Drosophila melanogaster: one gene and its partners. The protein of the gene in region 1 purifies or fractionates together with the protein of each later gene. This does not show direct contact. Each region holds a gene or a part of one and is shown on either strand. Other genes may lie near its edges.

The links.
Region 2: the proteins of Myd88 (region 1) and pll purify together in Drosophila melanogaster (affinity purification with western blotting; 4 studies listed by BioGRID). This does not show direct contact.
Region 3: the proteins of Myd88 (region 1) and Herc4 purify together in Drosophila melanogaster (affinity purification with western blotting; one study listed by BioGRID). This does not show direct contact.
Region 4: the proteins of Myd88 (region 1) and Tl purify together in Drosophila melanogaster (affinity purification with western blotting; 3 studies listed by BioGRID). This does not show direct contact.

What each region holds. Positions count from the first base shown.
Region 1 is NT_033778.4:9,301,800-9,311,904, forward strand, and holds Myd88 (Myd88), read right to left. Parts: upstream 6,924-10,105; 5' UTR 5,996-6,923; coding exon 5,470-5,995; intron 3,958-5,469; coding exon 3,668-3,957; intron 3,604-3,667; coding exon 3,435-3,603; intron 3,362-3,434; coding exon 3,175-3,361; intron 2,537-3,174; coding exon 2,095-2,536; 3' UTR 1,024-2,094; downstream 1-1,023.
Region 2 is NT_033777.3:27,248,438-27,254,744, forward strand, and holds pll (pelle), read right to left. Parts: upstream 4,746-6,307; 5' UTR 4,521-4,745; coding exon 4,201-4,520; intron 4,143-4,200; coding exon 3,477-4,142; intron 3,414-3,476; coding exon 2,894-3,413; 3' UTR 2,694-2,893; downstream 1-2,693. Other genes in the region: TTLL6B (tubulin tyrosine ligase-like 6B), read right to left, coding at 1-41, 105-645, 707-1,341, 1,406-1,559, 1,617-1,913, 1,971-2,395; TfIIA-L (transcription factor IIA L), read left to right, coding at 5,165-5,188, 6,091-6,291. UniProt on the Drosophila melanogaster protein: Plays an essential role in the Tl receptor signaling pathway that establishes embryonic dorsoventral polarity; the signal directs import of dl into ventral and ventrolateral nuclei, thereby establishing dorsoventral polarity.
Region 3 is NT_037436.4:1,310,803-1,320,074, forward strand, and holds Herc4 (HECT and RLD domain containing E3 ubiquitin ligase 4), read left to right. Parts: upstream 1-2,893; 5' UTR 2,894-3,106; exon of another isoform or gene 3,107-3,172; 5' UTR 3,173-3,207; coding exon 3,208-3,288; intron 3,289-3,355; coding exon 3,356-3,533; intron 3,534-3,670; coding exon 3,671-3,907; intron 3,908-4,083; coding exon 4,084-4,810; intron 4,811-4,876; coding exon 4,877-5,138; intron 5,139-5,198; coding exon 5,199-5,522; intron 5,523-5,582; coding exon 5,583-5,873; intron 5,874-5,932; coding exon of another isoform or gene 5,933-5,935; coding exon 5,936-6,531; intron 6,532-6,588; coding exon 6,589-6,814; intron 6,815-6,869; coding exon 6,870-6,983; intron 6,984-7,046; coding exon 7,047-7,199; 3' UTR 7,200-7,528; downstream 7,529-9,272. Other genes in the region: Ctr9, read left to right, coding at 1-906; sturkopf, read right to left, coding at 1,128-1,858, 1,918-2,110.
Region 4 is NT_033777.3:26,796,551-26,803,457, reverse strand, and holds the start of Tl (toll), read right to left. Parts: upstream 4,418-6,907; 5' UTR 3,978-4,417; intron 1-3,977. UniProt on the Drosophila melanogaster protein: Receptor for the cleaved activated form of spz, spaetzle C-106. Binding to spaetzle C-106 activates the Toll signaling pathway and induces expression of the antifungal peptide drosomycin.

The DNA of each region.
Region 1 (10,105 bases):
AGAGGATAACGCTTTAAACGAACAAACACACACTTACATACACGAACCTTGGTTGCGGTTGAGTTAGTAATAACCTATAGGTTCTGTTCCAGTTCCAGTTCCACATCACGATCCTGACCCAACCTGCCCCGCCCCTTTCTGACCCTTCCCTTTCCTTCCCTGCCCCTCCACTCAGACTCGTCGTCACACACTCTGTGTAAATGCAATCAGTTAGATTTATAAGATGAATAACAAGTCAACACGAATGTAAGACATCCCCAGAAGGCATTAATTAAGCTACGAAACAATTTGCAAATAATACTCATAGAGCGCGAGTCGAGGCAGAAGATGCAACATCATGCGTTACATTGTTTTAATATGCGAATTACGATAAATTGATCAATTAACATATACATACAACAAAGAACAAACAAATTACAAACTGTTTTTATTAATTTTGTTAAACGATAATGAAATCATTAAAATAACTCTAACAAAGGAAAACCAAGCTAAGCGGATAACAAACGACAGATAAAATTAATAACATATATAAATCGATTTATAAATACACACACTCACATAAAAACCAAAACACATTGAGCAGAGAAGCAACCAAACAAAACCCAAAAACATAAATTCAATTAAAAGTAACGAAACGAAACAAAACAAAACAAGACAAAAAAAAAAAAACAAAGTTTAAAGAACAAGCTCAAGTCGCAAGGAGCAGTAAGGCTAAAAAAAAAACATATTTGTTCACAGTGTAAATTGTAACACACAGAGAGCGAAATTAACGCAGGTTGCGATAAAGTGAGGAATGTGAGCGAGGAGCTATTATTAAAACATTAAACGATTTAAACAATAAAAAAACGAAAATAAATAAAACAAAAAAAATACAAAAAATTTAAACCGATTCGAACTGTCTTGTAGATTAACCGGAACTGGTCGATAAACATTTCCACTCAATATGTACGCGAACAACTGTATGTAAATACATATACGGGGATTCACACATCAACTGCAATGTTTATTAAACATGAACGAACTAAAGGTTGTCTACATTCAACAATAAATTATTGAGCCAAACATTGAACAGTTTATTGCCGCTCAACTGGAGCTAGCTTATTTCCGATATGGATACAGTGCGTTTCATAACCATGACCGCCAAGTGCCACGTGTCGCGAAGGTCGAAGTTCGAGCGTTCGATGCCCGACATTGAGGAACATATGTATATTGCGTTTTATCCACATTCGTTGTCGCTTGACAAAAGTTGGACATAATATATGGTTGTCGATCGACTCTATATGGTTTTGAAACGCACTGTCCGGAGATACATATAATACTATATAGACTCTAGATACATTGAAAGAGACGATGTGATGATGGATGACGTATTGATAGTCTTTGCTTTATAACAAGTGAGTGTGCTTAGGTGCACATCAGGCATATGGGCACGCATTCACAGCAATCAGTAACAATCGGTAACAGCTAGGCTAGAGCTAATCACATGAGGCAACCAGCCGATGGCGGTACCGAGAACAAACAGTTTACTTATTGCTAGCAATCGTCTAAAACGGCTTGAGCAGTTTACAAAATGATAAAGCACTGCTCGCACAATGCAGCCATATGTACGTATGCGTTATATATGCTCATTACTCATTCTCAGATGGGGTCTGAGTTGCGAGAACGGCGCGCGAGATAATTAAATTAAGTAAGTCACTTATCGAACGCGTGACTAACAGTTAATTGAGCACTTCGATTAGCAGTGTCGCGTATTTAACCTCACTCAACGCAATTGCCAATTTGTCTGTTTATCAAGTCCAGAGTCATATACATAGAGCATATAGCAATATCGTGTCGTATTTGGTAGTCTGTGTGCTTTTGTGATACATTTGTGCGGATATGTGGTATTGTCTTTATTCGTTGTTGTCTTATATAAGTTAACAAGTGCGTCTAAGTATATTAAGTTAGTTGACTTGATAAGGATTAGGCTAAAGATTATCACTAGGCATGGAGGGTGACGACATTGGTGACTGGGCGGCCACAACTAGACTGGGCACACGACAAGGAATCAAAGAATCGAGAAATCGAATGAATGGCTATCCTAACACTATGATCTCAGCCCGGCGTCTGCAGCTTGCTGCTGGATCGCGAGAATAGGGCCTTCTTCAGGATGTTCGGCTGCCACTTGATGAAGCTCTTCTTGCTCTCCGACGTGGTGGAGATGTTGGAGCTGCTGGCACTGAGTGTCCTCTCGCGTTCCGTGACATTTATGGTGCTGACGGAGTGGGCATGACGCAGAGTCTTGCCGCTGGCCCCATCGCTCCGCGCCGTCTTTCCAAAGCTGTGCGTGATTCTGCGCAGGAAGCGATCCTTTTTCTTCGGCTTGTGCTCCGGCAGGGGTGAGCCGGTGTCACCGGAAACCGAAACGATTGTGGTCTCCGCCTCCGGCACTTTGCAGCTGTTGTAGTTTGGCATATCAGTGACATCCTTGTCGTTGATCTGAATCCGAATGCTGGGAGTGGTCACCCGGGGAGCCGATTCCTCCACCGGCGAGGGACTGCATAAAGAAATTTTAGAGAATGCCAAATTTATGATATGAGTGATAAAATTCCAACATGTTTTACAATTAACAGCAAAACTAATTTCGCTTCAATATAATCTTACGCCCAGATATATAATACATTTATTTCCTGTTTATAAATTTGTTTCAAATTTGATTACTCATATGCAGTGTATTACTTCCTGGGCACTTTAAAAGTCGTATGAGTTCATCTTTCTGAAACAAACGTATCTTCTTTGAATTTAGCAAAACTAAATAAAAATACCTGCTAGGCTGTTCTAAGGTTGATCGCTCGTACGCCATGTGATATTTGCTTATATATTTTGTTTACAAGCAGTTGGTATACATTTGCACATTTTATGTGAATGTTGTGAAACGATTTCGCAGCCCCTACAACCAGCAGTAGCAATAATTGAACAGTAAAATCAAAAACTTAAGCTAATAAAATGTATTCTAAAACAGCTTCTTAAATTGGGATGACTAGACTACTTCATGTATTCGTATTCAGTTTGCAAACCTCATTTATCTGTTGGCTAGCAATCTACATTATCTTGAGATTTTATACCCCTAAAAATGTATCAAGTATTTTTGGAACACATACATATACATATATCGCAGGAAGTAGCAACACTTACGTCTGCACCTGGCGCGTGGAGTAGATCGAAAAGGCATCCAGATCGTGTAGGGAACGAGCCAACTTGTCCCAGAAGTTGAACAACTTGGAGTCCCCGGCGTACTTGATGTGCGTGTAAATGCCCAGGGTCTGGGGTATGTGCATGTCCGTTTTGTACAGAATCGGTATGATCTTGCGAGTGTGATTCTCTGGGGAAAGTCAGATCGTTGAACTTGTAATGCGACTCTGGCTCTGCGATACAAATGCGTATCAGCTACTCACCAATCTGGATCTTTTGGGTGAAGTTCACGAGGTACGTGTTCTCCGGACTCCGAAGAAACTCCTCTGTGAGCACGACGATCAGGTGATTGCAGCGGGTGGCCATGAAATGGGATAGCTGGACATGCTCGAACGGAACGCCCATTAGCATGTCGCGGTGGCGCAGGAATAGCTGCAATAGAACGATCCCATGGTTATTTAATACAACACACAGCAACCGAGCGCATCCCACTCACCCTGAGATTGTATCGCTCAGACTCTAGATTATTCATGATCTCGGTGGCATGATCGATGTCTGCCTCCGCGTACAGAACACATGCGTTGTATCTGGGCAGCGGTTGGCCCATCTGTACACATCTCTGGTCCTCGTCGCTGAGGATCTGCACACTTTGGCCCACTGTGATGTTGTTGCTGCTGCTGTAGTTGTTGTTGGTCTCGAAGCAGTCGCTGGGGGGCGGCGGACACGCCTCCACGAGAGCAGTCTGTCGCTGCTCCTGTTTCATGATGAAGCGCTGGGTGTCCTTGGCTTTTGAGGAGAGCAAAATTAAAACAGTTTTACTAAAGGGATTATGATTGCTAAAAACTACAAGGCCGCACAAAAAGTTTTCTTAACACATCATTCGTAAAGTAAACAACACAATTTATACATGTTAATGTCAAAATCAAATTACTTAAATTATGTTTATTAAATAATAAATATAACCCTTTGTTGATATATAATGAGCTTAAAGGAATGGCATAGTGAAGTTTATCTGAGTTTCTGCACACAGTCGCTAATATATGAAGCTTTCATAACAAATTGGTAGTATTTATGATTTGTAACTCAATATTATGTATGAATAGATAAGTGTATGCATATATCCATTCAGATGTCTGCCATTGTCTCCCCATCTTTTTATTCCAAATATATTGTCAGCAGAAAAGATCATTCTAGTAAGAGGTAGTGAATTCTAGATTCAAGCAGTTATCATCAACGACACATTTATAAAAAATTTACTTTTTTAGTTATTTTTAGTTTTATTGGAATATTTCTAAAACACCCAATGAAAGATCATTAGAAAAGGAATTCAAACATTTCCTTTGAAAAATTCCTAATACGATTTTAATTATGTGTGCTTTTTTATACCTTAAGCATTCAACTTCCGAGTGCGTTCATTTGTTTTTAAATCGAACCATTTTGGTCACAACGAATATATCTATACAACATCTGCTCCTAAACAAAATTGACTGTTCGAGGTTTTTTATTAATGACAACAGTTTTTGCTGGGTGAATCCCCATTGTGCAAATAAATAAGAAAATTTCGTTCTTAACTGATTGGCATTTTCTATAGTTTAAGTTCTGTTGTTTGCGGCTTTTAGAAATTATTGTTTTGAATTTTTTCTTTATGGCTGTGTGTTTTTCAATTTGTCGGGATGTGGTAATAAAAATCTTGTAAGTCGAAGCGTTTTATTTGACAATAAATAGAAATAAACACAAATTAATCATGGGAAAGTGGGTGACTTTTATTTCTGTCATTACGTATCTACTCATCATAACTCAATAGTTTTATGTATCCGACGATAAGCTTTGTTTGACTTAGATAAATGTGCGATAGATAAGTTAAATATGTACGCTTTCTGCATATACTCCCTATATTATATAGATTACCACGTCCATTTTTATAAACTCGAAACGGCTTTTCCGGTCATAAAACCAAAAATGGATCAGCCAAAAATAATTGATAAGTGTGGCTCGCCATTAAAGTAAAATTTAATGGTTCATTTTCCGATTTCCAACATTTGTGTACATATCATTTGATAAGTACATTATTTAAAATTCCTCTTCAACTTCGCAAACTCGAGAACAGTCAAACATACATAGTTAGTCTAGACGTTTAACTAAATTTTCACTGTCACGATGGCATTTTGAAGTAAAAGTCGAATCGTCAGACCATCATTTAAAAGCTAATCTAAAACAAATGATACTCAAAACTCAAGTGACATAGTTTAGTTATAGATAGATAGCGACTACCATAAGTAAAAAATAGTTAATGCCTACCCAGATTCTCCTGGATATCGTCGCAGACGTCCCACCGATCGATAATGCCCAGGAAGTGTTCCAGATGGCCCACCTTGGCGGTCTGGGGACTCCGCTGGCTCCAGCTGATCAGCACCAGATCCATGGGATTGTTGGCGTTCTCGTCGACGAATCCCTTCTGCTTGGCCAGCTCCGAGATGCCGCGCCAGTCCCGCTGGTAGCCCTCCTCGGATCGCAGCACCTTCTTGCGGTTCAGCATGCGGGACAGCTGGGTGCGGGTCTCGATGCCCAGTGCGGATAATGGGGTCTCGTTGAAGTGCCCCAAGCCCGTTCCCGTGCCCGATCCCGACCCGGAGTCCATAACTCCCTCGGCCACCACCATGCCAGCGGTGCGATAACGCCGATAACTGACGTCAGTGGCGCCGTAAATGTGATGGTGATGGGGCGGATTGGGATGGCGGTGGGTATGGTGATGGAAGTGGGAGTGGGGCTGGTAGTGGGAATGGGCCACCGAGTGCTGCTGATGGCATACAAATCGAGGGCGCATTCGCACTTGGCGCTGGCTTTATTGGAATAATTGGTGTTTGTTTGCTGGCGTATTTGTTTTAGTGTGGATGCGATGTGATGCGATATATATTTATCAACTGACGTTTATCAGTCGAGAGGGCGGCGAGCAATAAAACGATGAAGCGCGTGAGTTGTGCTGCTCTGTAGATTTTTTCGAGTTTTCCGATCGCGCGTGCTTGTTTTTTTTTTGTTTTTTGCGGGCGGATGAAGCTGAAACTGGTTAGAAGGGGGTGGTGCTTTACTGCTAAACTTCTATACTTCAGTGCGGTGCGAAATGGACCGAGTGACCTCCAGCACCTTGCCGCGTCACAGTCGCGTTGTTGTTGCTGTCTCGGATTCTGTTTTTATTTATCTGTCTGCTCCGCTGCGAGAGGAGATGGAGATCTTCGCCTTCGTTTTCGTCGCGTTTTTTATTCGTCTGGCGTATGATTTTTTGAATATTGTTTAAATATACACAACACACACACTCACAATCAGTGGCGCACGCACACAGTGTCGCCCTAAGCACAGAAATAAATTCGTTTCGCTTTTTTCGAGTGCGTCCGCTCCGGTTTGTTGTTTTGTTTCGACTGGTTCTGTCCGCCGTTTGTGCTTTTGTTTCTGCCTCGTTGTCCGCTCCTCCTCCGCCTCCTCCCCAACGGACTACTCTTCGCGCTCACTCTCCCGCGCTCTTTCTCCACCGCCTTTCACTCGCTTGTTTATTTTGGTTTCGTTCCGATGCAGGGCGAAAGCGCGGGGGCCACAGGCGGAACTATCAGCTCAGCTGCTTTTTCTAGTCGGCTGACAACACTCTGTTTGCACTGGCTAATTGCTAATTAATTTATCTGCGCTGCGTTCCCACTTTTCAGATCAGATCGCGATTCCGATAAGCTCGTGGCGATCGATGGGCAAAAGCTTGGCGAGTCACAGCTTTTCGGGTGGCCAGTCATCGGCGAGGTTTGGTACTTTATCGGGGCCAGTTATCGGTTGCGGTATTTTTGGTGCGCGGGCCACACTTTAATAGGTTCCAAAAGCATTCACCAGATGGCGCTCTAAGAGTGGTTGACTTAATTTCCGGTTGGTTAAATATAATTTAGGAACGTTGGTTCTTGCCGTAGGATTCCTAATTATTCATAAGCATAATTGATAATGATTTCTTGCTAGTGCAAAAGCAAGAAGAGTAGTAAAGTGAGTAAAAACGCACTCTCCTATTCGACCGGCTGATGTAGGCAATCTAACTCCTTTCAGTTATGCAGAGAATGGTACCTTTAATGGTGCCTCAAAAAGGAATATTTTACATTTCGACCTGTCCAAGACATACTTACTCATTTTACCGAGAAATATTGCTTCCCCGAAATCAACTGATTTGAGACGATAATGTGGGGAAATGAACATGCCAACCAAGGACCACACTCTCGTAAATAATAGTCAGAGAGCACTTGTAAATTCAGTTTATTTTCATTTGATTTTGTTTGTTCTTTGTGTGGTTGATGCCTGCACCTCAACGCTTTTCATTTTCAGTTACAAATACTGAGATATACTTACTACACAGGTGACACAAATTGATTTATCGCTTTTATGGCTTTGTTTGACTTTTTCTTTCGATTCAACATTTCTTGCTTTGCTTGATGAATAAAACGCTGAAGGCGTTCAAATGTATTTTAAATATATTTGTTTTGCTTTTTCATGGTTTATTTTTGTAGTTTTCGTTTTTCGGTCGGCGTTGCGTTTTGCATTGCCAGCAACAATTAACAGTAAAAGTTGATGCCTTGCACACAAGTTGAAGTTGAAGTTACCTGCTTTTGTTTGAATTCCGTTGTTAATTTATTTAATGTTGATTTACTCGGATAAGCCCCATCATTAGTTATTAATGTACCTACTTGGTATTTACTCATTTGGTTTGTTTGTGGCTCTATTTACAATACATCTGCCTGTGTGTGGTGTGGTTTGTGTGTCTTTCTTTGTATTTCGTTCATTTTTCACTTGTAAATAATTGCTCAAACTGGATTGGGCACCAAAAGTCTCTCGTTCAAAGGCTAAAAAGTTTGATTTTTTTCTCGAGAAATAATTTCGTTATTCATTAATTTATGCTTGCTGCGTGTTTGTGTTTAACCTGTGTCATTATTCAATATTCATTGGTATTTCGCCCTAGAACGTTTCGAGTATTTCAATTACATCAATTTACTTGCTTCGATTGTAGTTGTTTGTATAATAATTCAGCTTACATTTTTACACTTAGCTAGCCATAAATATAGACATTAGTTGTGTTCTTTTAATTAGGTCTCCCCTACCTCCTTCATTCAGTTAATCTCCTTTTTACTTTCGTTAGTTTAAGCATGCAGTTAAATCAATTTTGCAAACCTAGTGGATATGCTCTGCCCCATGTGTTAAATGCAATTACTAAGTATATTGTTGTTTGATTGTATATACTAAATATCCTTTGTGACTGCCTGGCGACAAATTTGATTATTTTAGCCTCTGTTTTAGCCTGTGTGTATTTGTGGTCAAATTCGAATGGCTTTCTGGGCCAAAATGCGTATCTTACAAATCTGAATGAGGTGTGTGATTCTTTGTCCCAGATGTACTTGCATTGCATTTAACAACGACCCGCTCTAAGTAGATTAAATGTTTAAGTTTACAATTTATTGAGCTAATTTAAAGCTTTCCATTTGTTTTCGCCCTGCCCGCCATTGAAATTCCGCTTCCCTGCTCGCCAAATGGCTTAAAAACAAATAAATTCGTATACAGAGAAAACTAATTGTAAGGAAAAGCTGAAACTGTCCAACTATAAAATCACGTAATTTACCTGAAACATGTGCTCTTAAATCAGATATTTATTGCAAATAATTTAGCCAGTTTTTAGTTAAGAGTTAACCGTATCAGTTTTGAATGGAAAAACAAAAATTTGTTTGTTTTTAAGATATTTCCTAAAATCATGCACTTTGTTATTTTTCTCTTTGTTTTCATGTGATGTTTATGCATGTAAATTTGTTTTGTGGCTACAAAGTATCTTTGAATCTCACATTAATTTAACGCCAGAGACCAAAAACCTATTAAATTACCTTTGTGCAATCGGGCTGGCGAGTATTGGGAAACATTTAGGTTGATAAATACATATCCGGCTAATTGGTAACTGGGCTAAAAGATGGGCGGTCAGGGAAGTTCGTTCTCAACTTTGCTTTCAAGCCTGCAACGCTCTGTTGGCTGAAACCGATAGAAGTTTGCTTCAAGCTAAATTTGTCGTTTGACTTGCAACTGAGTTAGCACAGGTTTATAAACTTATTCATTTGGTGAAGGCTGGGCAATCAATTCTTCCTCGTCGGATGCTCGACCACAAATAATTGTAACATTGAACACCTAAAAAAACATTTAACATTTAGCTTAGATTCACTTAGTTTAATCCGTTTAAAAATTAATTCGACAACAAGCTCGTTTTGCACTTAAGTAACAGTTTCACATCGATCCGCTAAATATCTAACTTCTCCGCGCATTTGTTATTTAATTGTTTATTAAGTTACGCTACGCCACATTTATTGCAGGTTCTCATTAGGATTTTGTAGGCTTTTTTCATTGGCACAAGTTGACTTCGAAGTTCGAGTAATTCTATTGAATGTTTCCTTGCTCCTTTACAATTATTGTTAACCTATGAATTGTAGTTTTACTCAAAATCTATCGTGGAATACTTGATACTTATGCTTGCGCTTTTCTTCCAACTCCGCTTCAACATCTTCAACGTCTAAGAGATACAAAAACTTTCGGTTGTTTATTGCTATTAACATTTACTTAGGAGTACTTTTTCAGTTAACAACTTAGTTTCAGACGTAACTATTGACCAACTTTTCTCCTCTTTTTCTTCGACAGCTGCCTGTCGACGCCATTCAGGAGGGTATTTGTCGGGTGGGAAAACCAAAGGAAAAGCTTGGCTGAAGAAAAATTGAAACCATTTCGCTAATCAACTGAACAATCGAAACCTTTTAATTGCTCCTTCCGTTTGGCGTCGTCCTGCAGCCCCAAGTAGATCATATCCTTGACGCAATAATTACAGGACAATCAGGCTGGTTCTGGTAAACAACTTCAATTTCAATAGGGGAATTCATACTTATTAAGCTAC
Region 2 (6,307 bases), on another chromosome or scaffold:
GTGTTGGTCAGGAGTCCAGTTTCGTAGAGATTGCTGTAGATCTGTGGACGAATATCTCCTTTAAATATAAATGTATCTTTTTTTTTGGAAGTGAACCGACTTACATTCTCGGTGATCTTGAGCGTTCGTATCGCCTCCGCCCGCATGTGCAGCCAGGTGTGGCGCAGTCGCTCCTCCGCGTCCGATATGAAGCCCGGCGACCAGTTCTCCCTCAGCCGGAAGAAGTTAATACGGTTCTTCTCGCGCACAGCCCGCGGCAGCAATACGGTGTGTCGTTTCCTAGCATCCCGCTTGGCCTTCCCGTTCAGCATCTGCTGCTGCTTGGCCTTCTTCTCCTCGAGCTGGATGCGCATCTTGCGCGCGAGATCCTCTCGCTTTTTACTGGCCGCCGTCTCCGCAAAGATGGACACCTGGTGCGACTGGGCATAGAAGCGAGTGTAGTAGTCCAGCTTGCTCAAGTCTGGTGGCGGCATTATCTTCCTGAAATTGCCCAAATGACTCTCCTCCCAGGCGATTTGCTGGGCCAGTGGACCATGGTCCTCAGCTTCGGGTTCAACATCAACGGGTTGGGCATCCGGACTGCCCTTCTGGGCATCGATTTTGGGCTTGGAGGTGCCGCCACCAAGACGCGGACGTTGTACGGGTCTGGAAATATATATGTGGGTTACCAATGATGATGATGCTGACATGATGATGAGACACTTACGGGTCTCCCCTGATCTTGAGCAGCCGCTGCTTGACCCGCTTGCGATCCTCCTTGAGAATCTGCCTCTTGTCCGCCAGCACCGTGCTGACCAAGTTCAAGGTGTCCCGGATCAGCGGCCGCTTTACCTCCCTGTCCACCTGCTCGTTGGTATGGAAGCTGGGCGAGTGGTTCACCTCGAGGATGTACGGCTTTAGCTTCCAGTCCACCAGGATGTCGAAGCCGAGGATCTCGAAACAGGCCTGGATCTTGTCGTGACCCGGAAAGCAGGCATGGTAGTTGTGCTTCAACACTGGCCACGCACTCAGCACCGTCTTGATGATCACGTCGTCCACATTGCTCCAGAACTCCTCCACATCGTAGTTGTGTCGCCGCATCCAGTTGTTGATTGCGCTCAGCTTCCTCTTACTGCCGCAGTCATCGTTGTCGCAGAGTTCGTAGTGCGAGTTCCGCTTGTTCACCGAGTAGTTGGTCAGGTGCATGTACAGATCGTTGGCGTTTCCGGGCGTGGGCTCCACGTACTTGTTCGTAGCAAATCTGGCCAATCCCTCGTTGTACACGAAGATGCGCAGGGGATCCACGGAGGTAATCAAGGTGTACACACGCAGATCGAACTTGTACCCATCGATGAGCAGGGGCTGGAAAAGTGGATGCGATGGTTAGCCAGCGTATGGGATTCCGGATGAACAGCGGATACATTACCCTGTGTATGTACGTCTGGCAGATGAGGCGCTCATGTGGACCTATGGTCTTCAGGTCGTTTGTCAGCCAGATGCCACGACCCTGGGCACCAGAATCCGGTTTCAGGATGAACGTGCGTTTGTGGTTGAGCGCGTAGTTCATGGCATCTCCATAGCTGAAATCGTTGGTATCAATGATTAGCACTTTCAGTGTGAGGCTGGGGTTTACTTACTCCGCCGGCAGCATCCAGGTCTTGGGAAAGATCTTGTAGTCCTGTGGAAAGATCTTTAGCATTCGATTTAGATTCCGCGAGAGCAGATCCTTGCGACAGATCTCGATCATGCCCGGAAAGTGATTGATCTGCTGGAAGCGCTTCATGTTCTTGAACAGCTCTACGCCGGGAAACGAATCCGACCAGAGGATGTTCCACATCTTGGACTCCTTAACCAACTTGTAGCCCAGCGTCTTGGAGATCTTCCCAATCATGGCGTAGCGCGAGTTGGACACGCAGATGGTACTCTTGGTTTCGCTGGGGGATTATGTTAGATGCGTTATCCAATAAGGATCCAAAGCTAAGGAAGATCACCTGGCTGGCCGCTCCTCGTCGACGTTCATGGGAGGATTGAGCACCCGAGTGGGGCATTCCACTCGGTAGGTCTTGTTGTTCAGTTGAATGAATCCCTGCAGCTTGGCTTCCTCAGCAGGCATTGGGCTGTTTTCACCAGAAGATGGTCCGTAATATGGGGAGTTATCATCCACTTGCTTGTCGGCGGCTGTCCTCCTCTTGAGGCACCGGGTCTTCTTCATCCGGCGGCGTGGGGACATGGGCTGCAGTGGCGGTGATTGCTCCGGACTGAACCATTCCCGGTCCAAGCACGGCTGCTCATTAAGAGCCATGTCCAGGGCGCGAACAACGTGGGTCCTCTTTTCGCGATCCTTCCGTATTTTCTCCTTGGAGAAGTGGCGCAGCTCCTGAATCCTCTTGAAAAACTTGGAATTTTTTAAATTCATTGTCTCGTCCGCTGGTCGTCCTTGATTAAAAATTGAAAATTTTTCACGTGCTAAAAGCTATATCTATAAAATTGATTCGTGTCAATGGTTAGAGCCGGAATTCTGCGTCACGAATAAAAACAATATTATTTTGCGATGATTGTGTTGTGAAAATGAAAATAATTATAACCGAAATGACGCTAAAATCAAAACGTAGCTCCACTGGCCACGTCGCTTGAGTCGTTTGAGTTTTAAATCATCGATTTGGGGCATATCATAAATTTAGTTTCTCCGAACATCAAACATACCACTAACAACTAAGTGTACAAAAATATTTAATAAACAATAGGGTAAGCATTTACAATTTAAGCATAACAATAAGTCTTTAGGGAAATTTTCGTTGGAATGTTAAAGTTAAAAATATATATTGCGATTGATCACAAAATGTGGAAATGGTTTACAAATGGTCCTTCGAGCTTTTCAAGTTCGTCAATAAAATGGTAACATAATAAGGCCCATCTAGTCGGTAACAAACGGTTCGAAACGCTTGAGCACCGCGTTCATGGATGGGCGATCCTGCGGATCCAGGGCAGTACAGTGCAAGCCCGCCTCGATGGCGCACATGCACATGTCCAGCTCCTTGCCCATCGGTGCTGCTAAGTGCTTCTCTAGCAGCTCCATCCGGTTTTGCCGCCACTGCTGCTTAACGTAGTCCAGCAAATTCTTCTTCGTCTCGTTTTCCGGCACGCGATCCGTCACCTGACGACCCGTGAACACCTCCAACAGCACAATGCCGAAGCTGTAGACGTCCACGCCCGTGCTGAGTTGTCTGAAGTTGCGGAACTCCGGTGGCAGGTAGATCTTAGTGCCGAAAACTTTATTCACTTCCACCACAGCGTCCAAGGACTTGGGACCCTCGCGCACCAGACCGAAGTCTCCGATTTTTGGCTGCAGACATTGGTCCAGCAGGATGTTGGCCGGCTTAATATCTCCATGAATCAGCGGTGTGCCTCGCGCCGTGTGCAGAAAGTAGATGCCTCTTTTGGAAACGAAATGAAAAGTTAAAGAAGATTGATAGCACTAAAGAAACGATAAATCCCACCTAGCCGTGCCGAGGCTGATGCTAAACCGCTGCTGCCAGGTGAGTGCTGGTAGTGGGTTTTGTGCCTTATGCGCTCGTAAACGAGCCTCCAGGGAGCCGCCCTTCATCAGCTGGTAGACGAGGCACGGCTTACCACCTTTGATGCTGTATCCGTAGAGGGCCAGGATATTGTCGTGCCGGATGCTGTTTAAATACTTGAGTTCGTTGTAGCTCTGCTGCAGCTCCACCATTTTCTGGTCGATGTTGGGACTGCGGTAGTTCATCACCTTGATGGCCACGTCCAGTTGCTTCCATTTGCCGCGGTACACGTCTCCGAATCCGCCCTGTCCCAGTCGATTATCCGGACTCCAGCCGTCCGTGGCGTTTTCTAGCTCCGCATAATCGATCTCCAGCAAGGATTCGGCTGCCCGCTGTACGGTGCTAATGTGTATATTGCCCAGGGACTCCAGGCTGGGTATCTCCTCCGTTGCCGTTGTGCTGGTGCGATTGTTGTTTGAGTTGCTGACGCCCGAGGAGGAGGGAAACGGCGGGCCGTTGTTTACTTTGGCACTGGAATCGGGAGCAGCGCGCAGCTCGCTGATGGTGGGCACGCTCCTCGGTATGTACTTGTGCAGATCCTCGCTAACGTAATCTTTGATCAGACGCATGGCGTTATGAAGCTTCAATCTAAAGTAAGAGGAGTCATTTCTGGGATCTCGGCGGTTATTATCTCAAACTGACTCACTTTTTGAACAAAGCAAACAATGTTTGCACCGTGTGATTGTACTGACCGCCCCAAATGTTGAGGAACTCATTGGAGGCTGAGCGGCCACGCTGCTTCTGGCTGCTTATCTGCTCCACCTGGTCGGGATAGAGTTTTACGGCCGTGGCCAGCTGTTGCCATACGTCTAGGGCATCCAAGTGGGCACATAGCTGGGCTCGCACGGGCAACGGCAGCAGTCGGATGGCCATTGTGTTGTCCAAGTGGGAACGCGACCTGGTCCTGTTGCCATTCGCTTGGTTTTGGGCCTGCGCCTCGGCTTCGGCGGTCTGGACGCCACTCATCTTTCACTTATGGGCGGGCGGTTCAACCGGTTGCGACTGATTCATGCGGCTCCGGATGCAAGAGTGCCCGTTGGATGAGGGGTTGGCGGCGCTGGTAACCTGTTGCAGCGAAACGAAAATCGCTTTTGGGTAAATTCCCAACGCGATTCGATGAAAACCTGTGGATGACTTGTTAACAGCGGCGCAACAAGTGATAAAGCAGCTTAACAGAGCGAAGCAGTCTGGCAACGCTGCCAATGTCTAGCAAATAATACACTCGAAAAAGTGGTAGATGCTTAGGAGCCACTGTTTAAAATTCAGAAGTAAAAAGAAAGCAGAGTAATTATTAAAAAGGTATTTGCTGTATGAAAATATTAAATAGATTTTAAATAACCTCCACATATTTTATGTAATTTGCACAGTATTTTGTATACTAAAATATCTTAAAAAATACCAAAGGCAATTAGTGTATGACCAAATGAGCCTTGCAGTTTGGCGGACATGCGTCGTTTTCAAGTGCCCCGCAGGTGGCCACACTGCTGACACCGTCACGAACGCATCGCTATCGCTAATTCTTCGCTTCGCCCATTTATAATTCAGCAAATACGTCAATTAGCCCCACCAGCGAACGGAAAAGCCTCAAGCTGGCGGAGAAAAAGGTCCAAATGGCGCTATGCCAGACATCGGTGGTGAGTGTGCGGCTGGATCCCCGAGATCCGGTAATTGTGTCAGCGGCGGTGGCTCCATTGCATTCGACATATGGAAGGCATCCTACCAAGGAGTTTCTCCATTTCCTCCAGCTTCACCTCCTTCCGCCGCCCACGCGGGAAAGTGAAAGCTTTCCCAGTGGTCATGGTAGTTACTACAAAACGATAGTTACAACTGCTGAAATCCGAGATACCAAAACTGCAAACCTCTCGGGTGTGGATGTGTGTGCATGCGAGTGCGTGTCTGTCTGGATGTCGCTGTGTTAGTGCGTTCGTTGCCTTGCAGTTTTGTATGTTTCTTGCCCTCTGGATTTTCCGATTTTCGGCTTTTCCGCGTAGTACTTCAAACTCCCATGGGGGGTTATATTTAGCAGTAATACACGCTGCGTAGCTTGTGCTATTATCTACAAGTCGGGGCCTCCTTCCTTATCGTCCGCTGATAACGCAAAACAAACTATTAATAAAACAAGCAACTGGCATACCGGTGTATATATATGTACAATGTACATATATATATATACCAGCATATGCATGGTATCTATGTACATATGTGCACTGCGACATTCTTCGCAAACAAATAATTTACATACTTTATTTGCGTTTTGCATATTCACATTACAGCTGCGTCTGAATTTTAATGGGAGCTCAAAAAGGCTCACCACATACTGTGCGCCACATTTTCAACTTCTATAGCGTCTTGCCCTTTACTTGCTTCGTGGATTTTTTGCGCAATCCCTATTGTTTTACCCCCAACTGTTTAGGCCCTAATAGCGTGAAGTTGAGCCGCGATAATATAATGAGTGTTTAAGTCAACACAAGCCCAGATTTGTCGTGCATTTCAAATTTAATTATACACAATTAACCGCATCCCCTCTCGCCCGCAGCTGAAGGTGTACCATGCCGTGATCGAGGACGTCATCACAAATGTGCGGGACGCGTTCCTGGACGAGGGCGTCGACGAACAGGTGCTGCAGGAGATGAAGCAGGTCTGGCGCAACAAGTTGCTTGCTAGCAAGGCCGTCGAGCTGAGCCCGGACTCCGGCGATGGCTCCCATCCGCCACCCATCGTGGCCAACAATCCAAAGGTAAGCGAAACGGAGC
Region 3 (9,272 bases), on another chromosome or scaffold:
GAGGCCTTCAAAATTAAGGTGGCGGAGCAGCGCAAGCGGCGCGAGGAGGAGGCAAAGACCTCCAGGGACCAGTTGTTAGCCAAGCGGCAGGAGTACGTGGAGAAGACCAAGAACATGCTCATCATTGCGGACGCTCCACCTGAAAAGGAACGCAAGAAGGGTGGTGGGCGAGGTCGTAAAGATGACTACATCTCCGGTACCGAAAGCGATAACGATGGAGCTCGTCGTGAGGGAGAACGTCCCTCGAAGAAGAAGGGCAAGGGGGAACGCAAAAAGGGTGGCGGTCGCAAGCGCAAAACGGAGAAGTACGAGAGCGACAGCGAGGAAGAGCCAGGTGCCAGTGGCAAGTCGGGAAAGAAGAAGGGCAAGAAGCCGAAGCCGGTTAAAGAGTCCAAGGAGAAGCTTTCTGCCAAGCAGCGCCTCAAGGTGCTTTCCAAGGAGACGATCTCCACCAGCGAATCCGAGTCTGACGGCAAGCGCAGCAAGAGCAGAAGTAGAAGCAGGAGTCGAAATCGCAGTGGTAGCCGAAGTGGCAGTGCCTCTAGAAGCGGCAGTGATCGCGAGGCTAGCCGCAAGCGCAGCAGGAGCAGAAGTGGATCTGGATCTGGGAGTGACAGTGATGAAGCAACTAAGCGGAAGCGCGCCAGGAATCGCATCGAATCTGGCGGGGAATCGGATAGATCTGGGTCCCGTGCTCGCTCCAAGTCGAGTTCCCGTTCAAGATCTCGATCCAAGTCCGGATCTCGATCGAGGTCTCGCTCCAAGTCGGGATCCCGTTCGAGATCGCGCTCAAAGTCCGGTTCCCGCTCGAGATCCCGCTCGCCGTCGGGTTCAAGATCCCGCTCTCGCTCTGGCAGCCGATCCAAGTCCGAATCCCGTAGCAGATCAGGGTCCCCGGAAAAATAACGCACCTCTCAACCGTGTTAAATCACTTTTGACTATATTTAGAGTTGTCTTCGAGAGCTGCAAAAAGATACTAATAAAAACGAACTAATTGCCACACAAAGGCAGTGGAGTAATTGCTATTGGTTTGCTGTTCAACCGTAATCCGGATTCCCAAGTCTATTGGCATGGATGGATTAGGTAATGGACAGGGCTGATTGTCTGGGCCAGGTCAACAATCGACTTCAAACACGTCTGTGCTGCTGGATCATGTCTCTTACGATTACAGCCATAGGCTGCGAGTGGCGCAGGACGAAAGCGTGGTCGATCTTCTTGGTGTCCAGCTGGGCGTCCACCTTGGGGTAGTCTTTTTTGAGCTGGTCATAGTAGGAGATTGGTACCCATCCGTCGGTAGTGCCGTAGTAAAACTTGAGGAGGTCCAGGTTCTGCTCTACAATCTCCCTTTGAATCCCGCGAACCCTGGCCATCTCATCGTCGGCCAGGAAGACCACCTTCTCCGCTACCGATGGTTTGGAGTACTTTAGGGCGGTGCCCAGAAACTGTCGTGGAATGGAGAAAATCAAGAAGTAGATCTGTATCAGCATCAGGCGCAACCACACGGGCAGAAAGTTGAAGAAGCTGAAGAAAATGTAGCCAAACACGGAGTACAGGGGCATGGCCACCTTGGTGAACACCCATCCATTGGGCGACTCCATCATCCGCTCGACGGTGGGGAACAGCATATAGCACTTTTGGATGCGACTCCGTATCCGCTCGTTTTCCAGCAGCTGCAGGATCATCCACGCTCCGATGGAGTGCCCAATCAAGTGGATCTTGACATCACTTGGCACGTATTTCTCGATGAAGGCGATTTTATGCCGGATTTGTCCGTCCAAATTGAAGAGCTCCTCGTTGCCGCTGAGTTGAGGAACCTCCCGAATACTGGCCTCTGGCGGATCATCATGGCCAGCGTGCCCTGGAGGGAACATCAAGTGTGCTATTACCGACTCAATGTGGAAACGCCAGCACACTCACCTATCACCCAAACTGGAAGATCGCCCAACTCCTTTTGCAAAGTGCCTGCGAACTCTGTGTAGAAACCTGGCAAACCGGGATTGCCAGTTATGCAGATGACGATCTCCTTCTCGGTTATGGTCTCCTCAATCCACCTGCCCCATGTGAATATGTGGGTGGGAATGGAGTTGATGTTGACGTAGGCCTCCTGCATATTTTCCGCTGCTGTTGGCGTGGCAAACTGCGCTGAAAATCAATCGGCACCTGTGTTGATCCCACTCTTTTCACACGCGATGAGTTGTCTAATCCCCGTGGCAACCGGTTTTCCTTTGTCCAACCACCTCGGCTGCAGCCTTTCACGAGTTTCAAATCTTGAGGATTGGCGCGGTTTATCCCCAGGGTTGATAGCTCTGATAAACACTGCTATGTGTTTCGGCCAATTGTTTCCAGCAAGAATGGACAAAGGTCACAAGTTCAGCGGCTTAAAAACGGCTGATACAGAAACCAGGGCGGCAAGCTATGCCAAAATCAGATGTTCTATATTAGCGGATACTTACCATGATAACGATTGCTCAGACAGAGAAAAAGTGTAGATAATTTTGTTTAAAAAAGAAAAAAACCAAAATGCATTAACTTTAAAAAAAATACTATGGCGTAAATTATTATTTGTCAACCTATTGATATCTCTTTACAGTACTAGAAGCTTTTATAAATTTCATATTAACTTTTACCTATCATCATTAAATATTCGAAAGTACTCCCTAACATTAGTTACCTACGTATACATTTTTTATTAACCAAAACTTATATGTAAAATCGCAAATTGTTTCTTTTTTCGGAAAAAATTGAGAAAACATTTTGATATTCGTGTTCAGCATAAGTTCTAGAGAATTATCCGATCTTAAGGTTTTTCAAAGCGGATCTTAAAAGTCCGCAAGCGATGCAGCCCTAGCTTAAGCCCATTGTCAGGGCTGCCAACGTGGGCAATGTGGCCCTATCCCAACCAGTTGGCATCGCCACCATTATTTATTGGTTTTTTGTTGCTGGTTTTTGAGTTTTTATATTTTTTTTCTAGAAGGCCTAAAATTTATAGAGCGTTGTAGGTAACAGGATTCAGGATTAGACTTAGATTCTGAAGGCACACCCATCGAAAGCTTGACGAGGCATGAACCGAGCAATTGGAATCGGGAGCAAGTGGACACAAAAGAATGTAGCTAACAATTGGGGACATTCTCGAAAATTCTTGTAGCACCAACAAGTAAATTATTATACCCAGAACAACCGAAGGAGCTATTGGGCGGATCCAGAGCAATGGCATCTGGCAAAGAGCTCTATTGCTGGGGAAGCACGTCACATGGTCAATTGGGACTTGGCGGAATCGAGGACGAGCAGGTAGATAGATGACTTTCGGATATAAGCCCACTGATATTACTTTTGTATGCCATTGATTTCCTCACAGATCCTCACACCTAGTCAGATACCCTGGACACCGGACACTGCTGTACAGCAGGTCGCCTGTGGACACCGACACACTCTCTTTCTGACCGCCACTGGAAAAGTCTACGCTTGCGGGAGCAACGACTACTCCCAGCTGGGCCACGATCTGCCCACCAAAAGGCCACGTATGTCGCCATTTCGTATGTAATCTTCATTTATCGTCTTGTCTGTCCACTCTCCACTAACTCCACCTCATCTCCATACTCACCAACTACGCGAGCCACTGCTGTGAACCGAGTCTAAACCCCGCAATCATCTTCCGGCCGACTTTTTGCAGTGCTTATCCCCGAACTGCAGGATTACGTGATCATCCAGATCTGCTGCGGCAGCCGCCACTCATTGGCGCTCTCCGATTGGGGCCAGGTCTTAAGCTGGGGCGACAACGACTGCGGCCAGCTGGGCCATGCCACCGATAAGGAGATCGTGCAGCTGCCCAAGGTTGTGCGGCAACTGGTCACAAAGACGGTGGTGCAGATCGCCTGCGGCAACAATCACAGCTTGGCACTGACCAGTTGTAAGTATGGAGTGAAATTTAATGGATTCCATTCACTAGATACACAGATACACATCAGAACTACTTGAAACAAGATAAGATAATTGTATTTCCCAAGTTTAGGGCATTACTAAACAATTCTTATCTAAAGCTAAACAACGATACCTTCCGACTAACATCATCCTTGACGTTTCTAGGTGGCGAGCTGTATTCATGGGGTTCCAACATCTACGGTCAGCTGGGCGTGAACTCCCCCAATGATTTGACACATTGCAACTATCCCCTCCGACTAACCACTCTGCTGGGAATTCCGCTGGCCGCAATTGCCTGTGGAGGCAATCACTCGTTCCTCATCTCCAAGTCCGGTGCGGTGTTCGGATGGGGCAGAAACAACTGCGGGCAACTGGGACTGAATGACGAAACGAACCGCTCGTATCCCACCCAGCTGAAAACGCTGCGCACCCTGGGCGTGCGATTTGTGGCCTGCGGCGATGAGTTCTCCGTTTTTCTGACCAACGAGGGAGGGGTGTTCACCTGTGGAGCTGGCGCCTATGGGCAGTTGGGTCATGGCTTTAGCTCGAATGAGATGCTACCGCGAATGGTAATGGAGCTAATGGGCAGCACCATCACTCAGGTGGCCTGTGGCAATCGGCACACTCTGGCGCTTGTTCCATCGCGCGGCAGAGTTTATGCCTTTGGCTTGGGTAGCTCTGGGCAGCTGGGCACGAGGAGTACCAAGAGCCTGATGCTGCCGCAGGTGGTCATCGGTCCTTGGGTGTCGCCCAGCGGATCAGCCCTGTTGCAATCCAATGATTCACAGGTCTCGTTGGTCATCCGACAGATTTTCTCAGGTGGCGATCAGTCGATTGTGACCACAACTTTGTTTGTAGACAAGGTGCCGCCCGAGGATTTCAGAAACTACAAGTAACTATAGAAGCGTGTTACTTTAGTATAAACATATAAAACTATAAACATATATCTACTTTGCAGCCCCAAATCCCAGATCCTAACCCTAACAGCAGAAGTCACCAAGCAGTGTGCTCAATGCAAGCAGGGCCTTCAAAGCGACATGGATCTACTGAGCTCTATTGAACTAATATTTAGAAGCCAGGCGTGTTGGAATGGTTCCTTTCTGCTGGATCACGACCGACACTTTGGATGCTCGGTTCGCAACCATGGACTGGATCTGAAAGCAGCCCAACTAGCATTCGACAATCTGCGCGCTGTGGAAAATGAAAGCATTAGGCAGGTGGTAAGTTTTCGCCATTACAAGCATCATTGGTATCTGTTTTAATCATTTCATTGTTTTCAGATCTGGGACAATATAACCAAGGAGCTAGTTGGTTCGCTGGTTTGCTCACCGGCAGATGTGGAGAGCATGCGATTATATCTTCTGCTCCCACTTTACCACGAGTTCGTCAACTCCAAGCACTACAAGTCACTGCAGGTTCCGTTTGCCAATGCCATATTTAAGCTAGCAGAGAACCCACGGAAAGTGCTGAACAAGTGGTTGGCCCAAACACCGGCTGAATACTTCGAGCATCTTGTCCAGAACTTCTTGCATGTTGTCATCCATATTATAAGTTTCAAAATGGGCTTGGCTGCCGCTAGTCCCAGCGCCGAAAGACGTCAACAGGTATTTAGATTTCAATATAGGGCCATACCAGTGTCAATTAATTCTCTATTCATAATCTAGCTGCTGCCATATAACACTGAACTCGAGATCATTCTAAAGCTGATGAAAACGCTCTGCCAAATTAACAACGAGCGCCATGATCGCCTAAACTATCAAATCTTTTACTGGCCTGATCTTTCGGATTATGCAGACGTGCAGCAGGAGTACGTTAAATGGATCATGGCCGACACTGCCAGAGATTTCAATATTTGCAACTATTCATTCATTTTCGACCAGTCTGCTAAAACAGCGTTACTCCAAGCGGATCAGGCGCTCCAGATGCACTCCGCCATGGCCAATGCGGCTACCATGGTGGGTTAATGACGCCGAACAGAAATGATTTATGAGTTAATAACTACTTTTTTATCCAGCAGGCATTCTCCTTTTTCAACTACGGGATGCCCATCTCGCAGTTCATTGTGCTCAACGTGACGCGTGAGAATCTGGTGCAGGATTCCCTTCGAGAGTTGCAGCATTATTCGCAGAGTGATCTTAAGAAGCCGCTGAAAATCAAGTTCCATGGCGAGGAGGCGGAGGACGCGGGTGGCGTGCGCAAGGAGTTCTTCATGTTGCTGCTCAAGGATCTGCTCGATCCCAAGTACGGTATGTTTAAGGAGTACGAGCAGTCGCGTCTGCTCTGGTTTGCAGATCTCACCTTCGAGACGGAAAACATGTACTTCCTAATTGGCGTTCTCTGCGGTCTGGCCATCTATAACTTCACCATCATCAACTTGCCATTCCCACTGGCTCTGTTCAAAAAGCTGCTGGGCAAGCCAGTGGATCTCAGTGATCTCCGTCAGCTTTCCCCTCCGGAGGCCAACTCCATGCAATCGCTGCTCGACTACCAGGGCGACGATTTTAAGGAAGTCTTCGATCTGACCTTTGAGATATCGCGGGATGTATTCGGGGAGGCGGAGACGAAGTGCCTTAAGCCCAACGGCAATGAGATAGCCGTAACACTGGAAAACAGGTGAGTGTAGTGACCATTTCTGTTGCGGCACCTGTGCTAACTATTATCCAACTTCAGGCAGGAGTTTGTGGATCTCTATGTTGACTTCGTATTCAACAAGTCCGTCGAGCTGCACTACAATGCGTTTCACAAGGGCTTTATGAAGGTGTGCTCTGGCCGCGTGATTCACATATTCCAGCCGGAGGAGCTGATGGCCGTGGTGGTGGGAAATGAGGATTACGACTGGCAGGCGCTTCAAGACAACTGCGAGTACCGGGAGGGCTACACTTCGGTCGATGATACAGTGAGTTGTAAACTAAAGATGGTCTTCCTAGACATTAACCTTGTATCTGCCGCAGATCAAATGGTTCTGGGAGGTTATTCATGACATGTCCGAGGCGGAAAAGAAGAGTTTTCTCCTCTTTTTAACTGGCAGCGATCGCATTCCCATCCAGGGCATGAAAGCCCTTAAAGTGAGTTCTTAGATTATACCTATATTGCAAAGTGTGTCCTTTACCGTATCCGTACCGATTTAGCTCACCATTCAACCCACCCCGGACGAACGATTCCTGCCCGTGGCGCACACGTGCTTCAATCTGCTGGATCTGCCGCGCTACAAGACCAAGGAGCGCCTCAAGTACAAGCTGCTACAGGCCATCCAGCAGACGCAGGGCTTCAGCCTGGTCTGATCGATCTGATCTGGACCCATTTTTTTACATCGACCTCAAACTACAGGTATTTTCCGAAATCTTCGGATTTCGCGCATTTTGGATTGAAGAATGAAAATTGGCTACTTTCAAAGACAACCCCAACGTGGAACACTCATTTATCAGCGATCAAATCAGCAAGTACAATGTCGTGTTATAGCTTTAAACTCTAGACTAGTTATTAATATCGCATTGTTATGGAGAGAAAGGAATTCAAGGAGGTAAATAAGGTTGGTGCATCAGTCTGAGGACAACAACAAATGTCTAAATTTCCGTGTAACTTTTACCAATAAAGTTATATAATATGGCTTATATATTGTTATTTTCATTGATCGCAGTAACGGTTAAGCTTTAAACCCGATAACGATAGCTTCGCTTCTGTCCGGAAACGAGCCGCGTTGGCAGCACCGTTGGCGCACAGCTGAGCCCGAAATGTGGCGGCAAATCGAAGTCGTCGAAGTCAGTTCAACTTCAACTTTGGCAAGGTGCGCGGCCGCGTGCGGATTTCGTTCGTTAATTTCTTCATTCGCCGCCGAGAACTTTTTCGGACGCTCATTTGCATGCGCTGGGCGTGCGGTGCTTGACATTAACCAACCGACCGATTTCGAAAACTGCGCGCATATATGCCGTCCTAGCCCCGCTTCTTCAAATTATCCACCAACACCAATTCGCTTACAACAAACGTTGTCCAAACGTCACCTTTACCGGGTCAAGCTAACGGTACCCGCATCGGAAAAGAAATTCAAACAGGTAGAGCACTGCGACCACAAAAAAGTAACGACTTCGGGCGACAGTTTGTGAAATTATGGGTACTTAGGCCCCCAGTTTGCAATTACATGTGTGCCATCCTGGTCGCTTGTCCATCTCAAACTTCTTAATTCGCTTTATATGCCGCGAACGAGGCGAGCTGGCCTACAAAATCAATTACCATCGCAACTTTTGCATATCCTGACAGCTAACAAATGTCCGGGCCACAAAATCCAGCGATACCATGCCGCGCACATGAGTGTATAACTCAAAAAAAAAAGTTAGCAAAGAAAAAATACGAAAAAAGCGGTTCTGCCGGTTTGCCCGTGGTCGTGATCTGTGCAGCGTCTTCCGCTGCTTTCTTTCCTTTGCACGATTTGAACTTGGACACCAAACGCAACAAAAGCCACAGCGGCGGCACAAAAGAGCAACAAAAGCAGGAATGCACTGCGAGAAACGTTTCCTCAAGGATTAGTTTAACTCATAAATGCAAATGGTTTACGCAGTTTCTAACTTTCCTAACAACTTTCAATGATAATCAAGGGTGCTTTTTCATGATCGGTTCTTTGAAATAATAAATAATATGGGAAGATGATTCTCCCAGTGCAGCAGCCACCGCAATCGAAGAGATCTGGTTTATTGTGATGCTCCTCTAATAAAGCGAGCGTTTAGGCACCGGCACCTCAATTTCGCCGCTTCGCTCGCTCCTCCGTTCGCTTCCTGGGTCTTCACTCCACACATCGTCTGCGAGGATATTTGTAAACTGGCTGGGGGGGTTCACCTGTCCCTCGCTCCCCGGGGATGAGCTTGTTTGCCCAGGTTTTATAGCAGGAACAAACAGGCGGGGCACACAAAGAGGGTCAACAGGGCGTATGTGTTTGGCTATGGGGGAGACATGAGTAATCGGTGGATATAGCTGGCGGGGATGTATCCCCTTGCTCCGCTTGCCTACTCGCTGACCAATTGAAATTGTATCAAATTTCAATTTCGTTTCCACACTGCGACGGCCCTCCATTAATTTGACCCAGTTTTGAAAACAGCGGCAATAAGCCGCTTAAAAATAACCAACTGCAATGGATCGAAAACGAAACCGAATGATTCGCCAAATCTGGCAGCTGTTCAAATACAAGCTCGCAACAATATAATAATATTGTCAAATACCTACCTGTAGTCTTAAAATATCTGGGATCTGCTCACTTTTAAAGTACTTAATGGTATTGAAGCTAGACTAGAGGCGATTGTAGAACACCTTTTTTCGAGTGCACAAAGCATTGCCCCCAATGTCATTGCCTCACACTTGGCACCCAA
Region 4 (6,907 bases), on another chromosome or scaffold:
TTTCCCAGGCCGAATGGCCGGATATCAATCATTAACGTTGACAGGAGTCGCAGCAGAAGTCCCTTTAATTGCAGACCATTCACGCAAAGTGTTGAGTGTTGGCCCTTGGGAGTGGCGTTATCATGGCATCTTGGCCATCTAAGTACATTTTCGACTTATCGGTGACTTTAATCTTGAGACGTTTACAAGGGTACTACCAAGGGTGCTCGGCGAGGCATGATGACTCGATCGCCTTTTACTGGCACCTACGAAAACGTGTCTTCCTGTTCTTATTGTTGCGTGGGCATTTCTTATCAGTGAATGCCCATCAAAGGAAAAGCGTAGGTTTTTCCATTTTCCCAATCCATTATCTTTCACTTTGGGTTCGTGTTCCATTCTTAAAGCTAAATCAAGCGTTGGACATTCACCATTTGAGGTATTTTATAATATCTGGCCCAAATTGTTGCTGACTTACTGTTGTTCGGCTTGCCTTTCCCCGCTTTTCTGAGCATTAAAATTAGCTTAAATTTTAATTATAGCCAAGTGCCCATTTGGGCTCGCTGGCCCACTAATGAAGTTCAAATATTCGTAGCATTTTTAATTTTTTTCGGGCCAAACTCCAGATCAAAACCTGAGCCAGAACATTTTATGCTAATGACAAATGCTTTTATCTCGACCAGAACAAAGCGGGCCAAAAAGAAAAGGAGGATGAAAAACGGAAAATTATAAGCAGAAATTGTTGGCAACCTGCTGCTGATGCTGATGCTTATGCCGCTGCTGTTGCTTTTCCTTTTCCAGCTGGGTGGCAGGAGTTTTCCCGACTTTCCACCCCACACTGACCCTAATCATTATGCCGGACTGACCCGCCAAGTTGGTGAAAAGCTGCAGATCGGGGACCGTGAAAATTACACCGCCTTTCCCCTGCCGCCGCAATGAGGTTACAAATATTACATGCCAGGTGGGTGGGTGTTTTGGGTGACTAAATTTATGCATTTTTTTCTATGCGGCTTTAATTAAATTTCTCTTTTTCGGTATGTTTATTTTTTTGGAATTTTTCCCTCCCGTTTTCTGTGGCCGCTAATTTCTACGTTTAGGCGCGTCTAATGTTTCCCCTGCTGTGGTCGTGTTTCTTTATTCAAATGAGAAAATATGTGGCTGTGTCACAGGTGAGGAGTAAGGCCTAATTGGCCCTGCCACACGGGGTTTATTATATCAACATTTACTCGGCTTCATTTGCTATGTCTCATTCTCGTTCTCATATTCTGGCGCCATCTGTTTGATTATGGAAATCGATTAGCCAAGTCCATCTAATGAACTAGACCAGAGCACAGGACACGGATCAGAAAACATGTCGCGACCGAAAACTTCATGAGGGAAAACTCCTGCACGCAGGTAGGGCCAAAAAAAAAAAAAAATAGTAAGAACATAAAGGGAACTGGGACGGGGACAAACAATGGAGAGATAACCCAAAGATAGACAGAAAGTGGAAAATTAATGAGATTTTTCGTTTGTGCAGCTGATGAAGGCATTAGGGTGAAAGCAAGTGCAACGACTTCATTTCCCTCCACCGAGAGAATGTCGCAGTGGGGAACTTATGGTTATTCCTCCCTTCACGATTTTATGGTCAGCTGAAGCAATAAAATTGAAATTAATTAATTGAATGCAAGGCAATAAGCCCTGTGACTGGTCAGGCAGTTCTATCTCAGTTCAATCTGATTGGAGAGTAAAAAACCTCACACGTTGAAATCACACGAAAAGAAATGAGTTGTTAAAAAAAAACAGGTGATAACAATACGGTAAGTATGATATTACGCTATATAATATAAACTTGTACTATATTAAAACGTGTTTATATTAGTCATTATAGTCATCATATAAGAATGTAGTATGTAATTACATATCACTTTAATAACAGATCTTATAGATACAATCTTCAGATCTTCAGTCTTGTTTTTTTTTTGCGTGTATTTGTCTCCCATTTACGTCACGGATCTGGTTTGACTTTGGGTTAAACCGCCCGCTGATCTGAGATCGGGAGAGTAAGACATATGGTGGTTCGATCGTAACGCTCTTTTCAGCTTAGGAGGCTGACTCATCACGCTGAGCGGACCACAAGTCATAGAAACGCTGAAAGCCGACGTGCTAATTATCAACACAAGTCGCCAATAACTAAGAGTGAAATAGCAGAAAGCTAAAAAACACTTGGCAGATGTAAAAACCAAAGCGGAGTCAGCTTTGAATATTGTTTTTCTGCCTTTTCGCTTATCAACCGAGTGGACAAACGCCCTCAATAATGAGAGGGGGAAAAATAAAGCTAACAACTAAAAAAGCGAGTACAATGAATCTTAAATGAGTCTCTCATTGTGCAGAAATATTTATAACAAACGTGTTTGTATGACAATTCATTTTGGGCAACTTTTACCGCCTGCAGTTGGACTAGTGGCGGTTTGGCCATAACAATAACGGAGCCACAATTACAGCTACTTTCTAACGTGGCCAAGACGAAAGACCCAAGCGGAGCATCTTGAACGTTTGCAGTTTGCCGTTTTCCACTTCATTTTTTTCGTTCACTTCTTTTTTTTTTGGCAGAAGTTAAGTAGACTGTTAAATGACTTCCGCAGTTTTACCTTCACAGACGAAGACTAGCATTTTTTTTTTTCAGTTTGCCGCCATTGTTATAGCCGCTTTGAAAGCTTCTTTGCCTTTGATGTGGGCCAAAGAAGAAAAATCTTAACCTAAATCCAGAGTACAGTTATTCGGAAAACCCTCAGGCGAAAGAAGCTCAATGGCAGGATGTTAACTATCGGAAAAAAATACAATCAAAATTTATATATATTGTATAATTATTGTTAAAACAGCATTGTTCTTGAATTCAAGACCTGCTGCTTCTGAGCGATAATCGTTGAACTTTTGGGGTTGAATCTTGGGGTTTTCCGAATTTTTCATATAAATGTAGCTAGTGGTCAAGGGCTATCAACTAAGAAGAGATTTATGGTGTTGGAAAACCCAAGAAGAATCGAAATGAATTAAAAACAAAAGTCTAAGTTTATCATAAGGTCATACGATTTTTACCATAATTGGTACAAGCGAGAAGATTCTTGTCCCTTCCTTCTTCTCTTATTTTGTTTTGCTGTTTCTAATCAGCAACTTATTAGCTTTTAAAGCACAAGTGGGCATTTTCTGGTTTGTTAGAAGTACTTTTGAAACCTGCATTACCCAGGTATTTCCACCTTCAATACGAATAAAAGTCCCCGCAATGAAAACCTGTTGAACGAAGCTCTCTTTGGTAGTAAATAAACTTTTGTTGTGTCTGTTTGTTTTTTCGATTCCAAACTGGTTTTTGGCCAAAAATTCAAAGTGTTAATATGCTGGCTCGTGAGCTTTGGGCCAAATGCGTGTGGCTTTGTTTTCTTTTTTGTTTCGTTCATGGGTTGGCCAAAACGCAAAGCACACCCCAAGGCCGAAGAGCACTTGCTGCTGCACTGCAGCATTTTGCACATTTCCCTGGAAAGTGCCGAGAAAAACCACGGAAATTGTGGACAACAAGAGTGTGACACACACAAGCACTGGGGAAAATTGTGCAACGGTTACAACTGCTGAAACTGTTATTCATCGCCAATTTGCACAGGAAAAAATACGGTTTTACGCAGAGTACTAGTAGTAGTAGTAGTAGTAGTAGTAGTATTAATAGATCAATTTAAAGATGTTTACAAATATTTTACAGCTCATTTTATGTACTTTAAATTGATTTTATCTGACTGTGATCAAAACTGGAACAAAATGTCAACCAATTGCCCGATGAGCCATCAATTTGGTAAATTTTTTTCTGTGCAATTATAGGCGAATTGGACTGATCAGAGAGTGGGACAGAGATAGCTGAGCTTAGCGCGAGCCAAGCGAAGCTTAGCACAAAGCAAAATCGAATGGGAGATAACGAGACAGAGCGAGATGGCACGGTTCAAAGTGTAATAACTGAACAAGGAGACGTAAATACTTACCGTTTTAATACGTGTTTTATTAAATGTGAGGTTAGCTACTCCGCTGCGATCTCTTGTGCAAATATTAATATTTATTTGGCTTTTCTTAAGCTGCCACGAACAAACACGCACTGGCACTGTTGTTTAGCTTCTCTGTTCGCGCTTGTTCGCACTTTGAAGCCGCGATTTTTTGCGATTTTATTTTTGGTTAAATGCTTGCTACACTTTCACACATTTGCATTTAATTGCGCCTTGTGTTTCTTGTTTTTATGGATTTTGTGCTGCGTAGCGTTGCTCTTAACTTGGCTTATTCGGTTGCCAAATCGCTGGCCACAAAACGAGACAAACAAAAGCGGCCCACAACACACGAACGCGGGACTCTGGCTGGGAAAATCAAAAATCCAACTGCTACAAGCGCGACAAGCGTGCGTTCACGTCGGCGATTCGGAACAAACTGAACTCGACTCGAAAAGAAAGAAGAACTGAGAGATGAAGAGCTGGTAGTGCGCTTAGTGTGGAGGGAAAGACGAGAGAGTGGCTGAGTCGGCGGCAAGATACCCTTTGCTCAATATAGAAAACATTATTTACTTAAATTTGTAATCAGCCTATTAATATATTTTATTTTAAATTTTAATAATTTTGTCACAGTCTTTATATGTTTTATATCATTTTGTTTGCTTTTGGTTCCTTAAGCTCCAGTTTGTTAAGACATTTTAAATTATTATTATATTTTTTATATTCTACTTTTAATAACATCCTATCTTGCTACTTTTTTAACCTTAAATAACGTGTGAAGTTATTTCTATAAAGCTGTTTGGGTTTTATATATAATCAGCTTATTATAAATAAATATGAGTTGGATAAAAATGCTAGTCTCGAAATTTTTTTATATTTTTGACGTACTGATAAGAATTTTTAGAACAACAGTTCTTGTAGCAATAACACAATGTGATAATATGAGGAATCGAGCTTTCAGTTGATTTATGTTAGTTGACTAGGATTTTTATAAAAAATAAAATTCTTTCCCTAACTTCTGAGTGGCAAACGATATAATAAGTCGAGCAATTTCTTCTACCCCACAAATACCGTTCGAAGGTACAGATGCGTGGGAGAAAAAGAGAGAGACACACGAATTATCTTCGTGTCTGTGGTCGTTGCACTATAAACAAATCGCATGCGATAAAAGTCATGCGAGAGAGGAAAACAGTTGAAATACAGGTACTTCGTATAAGAGTATAAGAGAAAGTGGTAGAGCAAGAGAGCCTTCTACTGTTTTGTTTTCATTTTTGGGGGAAAAGCCGGCAGTTGTTGTTGGCCAGTAGTTCTCAGTTCTTGTTAGCCAAGTTTAACCGGTTAACTTCAAAGTCTAAGCATCTCAGGCAGCATACGTAATAACAGTGATTATGGATTTATTAGTTGATTAGTCTCTCTCTCTGAGTAAAATGTAAAATGTAATTGCCAGCACGTAGCAGACTGCTTGCTGTTGTTGTTGTGTGCCAATTAAAACCACACTTCCACAACATCTACCCTCTCGCTCTGCCGCTTGCGACTCAAATGAAGTGGAAGTGCGTTCTGCTAATGCGGAACAAGGATGGGACATAGCTCCCGGGGGAGCAGCGTGTGAAGTGCGACAGGGACGGGGAATGGGAAATGCAAATGGAAATCGTATCCCTCTGCAACTGTGTTTTCTGTAATTATGCACGGCGTATGGAAAATTAGGACATGCTTATGAATAATCTTTGAATTCATGTACAATTTTCATAGCAATCTTGTGTTGATTCCATTTCCCAATTGGTAATTATCTAAAGTCTTTGAAATTTAAATAAATTTGTTGAAATATTACAACAACAATTTTAATGTTTACTACTAGGCTTACACCACAATTTTCAAGGATTTAAGATGTTTTCTTTCCAAGCAAATAACTTTACGTCAAATCAAACAAAGCAACGCAAATCTGGATAAGCTTAATAGGCAACATAATGGCTACTTCTCCCCGCAAAGATGCATTAATATACACATTTGCCACACTGCCCGTGTTTTTCATTTCAAATACCTAGGATTTACTGTAAATTTCAAAGATATTACCGAAATATGCGCATGTAATTCTGACCGAAAGGAAATTCCAGTAATTTCCCATTCAATGTACCCACATGGGAAAACCCAGCGCACAGGACACACATCGGGAGATTTATTCCTCATTTGCCTTGTTTTATGTTAGCTGCAAAATTTCACTTTGAATTGTGCCGAAAATTTAATTTGATTTCATTTTCATCAGTGGAGAAGCACATAAATAGTGCAACAAATGAAATTTGTACGTGCCACAGATGCTGGAGGAACCAAAGGCAGGCCCACATGTGTTTCAGGTCCAGATTTGTGACCATTTGTGCGTGGTTGGCCACGACACGCAGAGCCATAAATTTCGGATTCTCAATAAACTAATGGCAATTGGTATCCGAAAGATACATTCTATATACATATACCCCAACATCCATATATATATCTCTTCACACACACGTACAAACTCATTCTGGCCCGTCTGCGTTATTAGTTTTTCTTTTCCTTTCGCTCGTCGCTCTTTTCAATCCGTGTGACACTTTTATCACACACGTTCGACTCATCAAAAAGTTAACGACGATAATGACAAACATTTCAAAAGCAAACACTCTGCGGCATGCAACCAGATCCATTTTCCCCAGCCGGGAGATAAATATCTAGCATATAATGCCCGGCCTTGTTGTTGTTGCGGGGCAAACACCTTAATTAACTTTTTTCATGAACATCTTGGCTTGGAACTCGGCTCCCCCTCCTCTTGCCCCTCGAATCGGTCTAACTTGGCTTATTTATTGGGGTTATTTGCTCAACGAGTGGTGGTCTTGTGTGTGTGTGTGTGTGTGTGAGACGTCCTTTCATACACAAGAACACACACTTGCTATCGCATGGGTAACTACCTG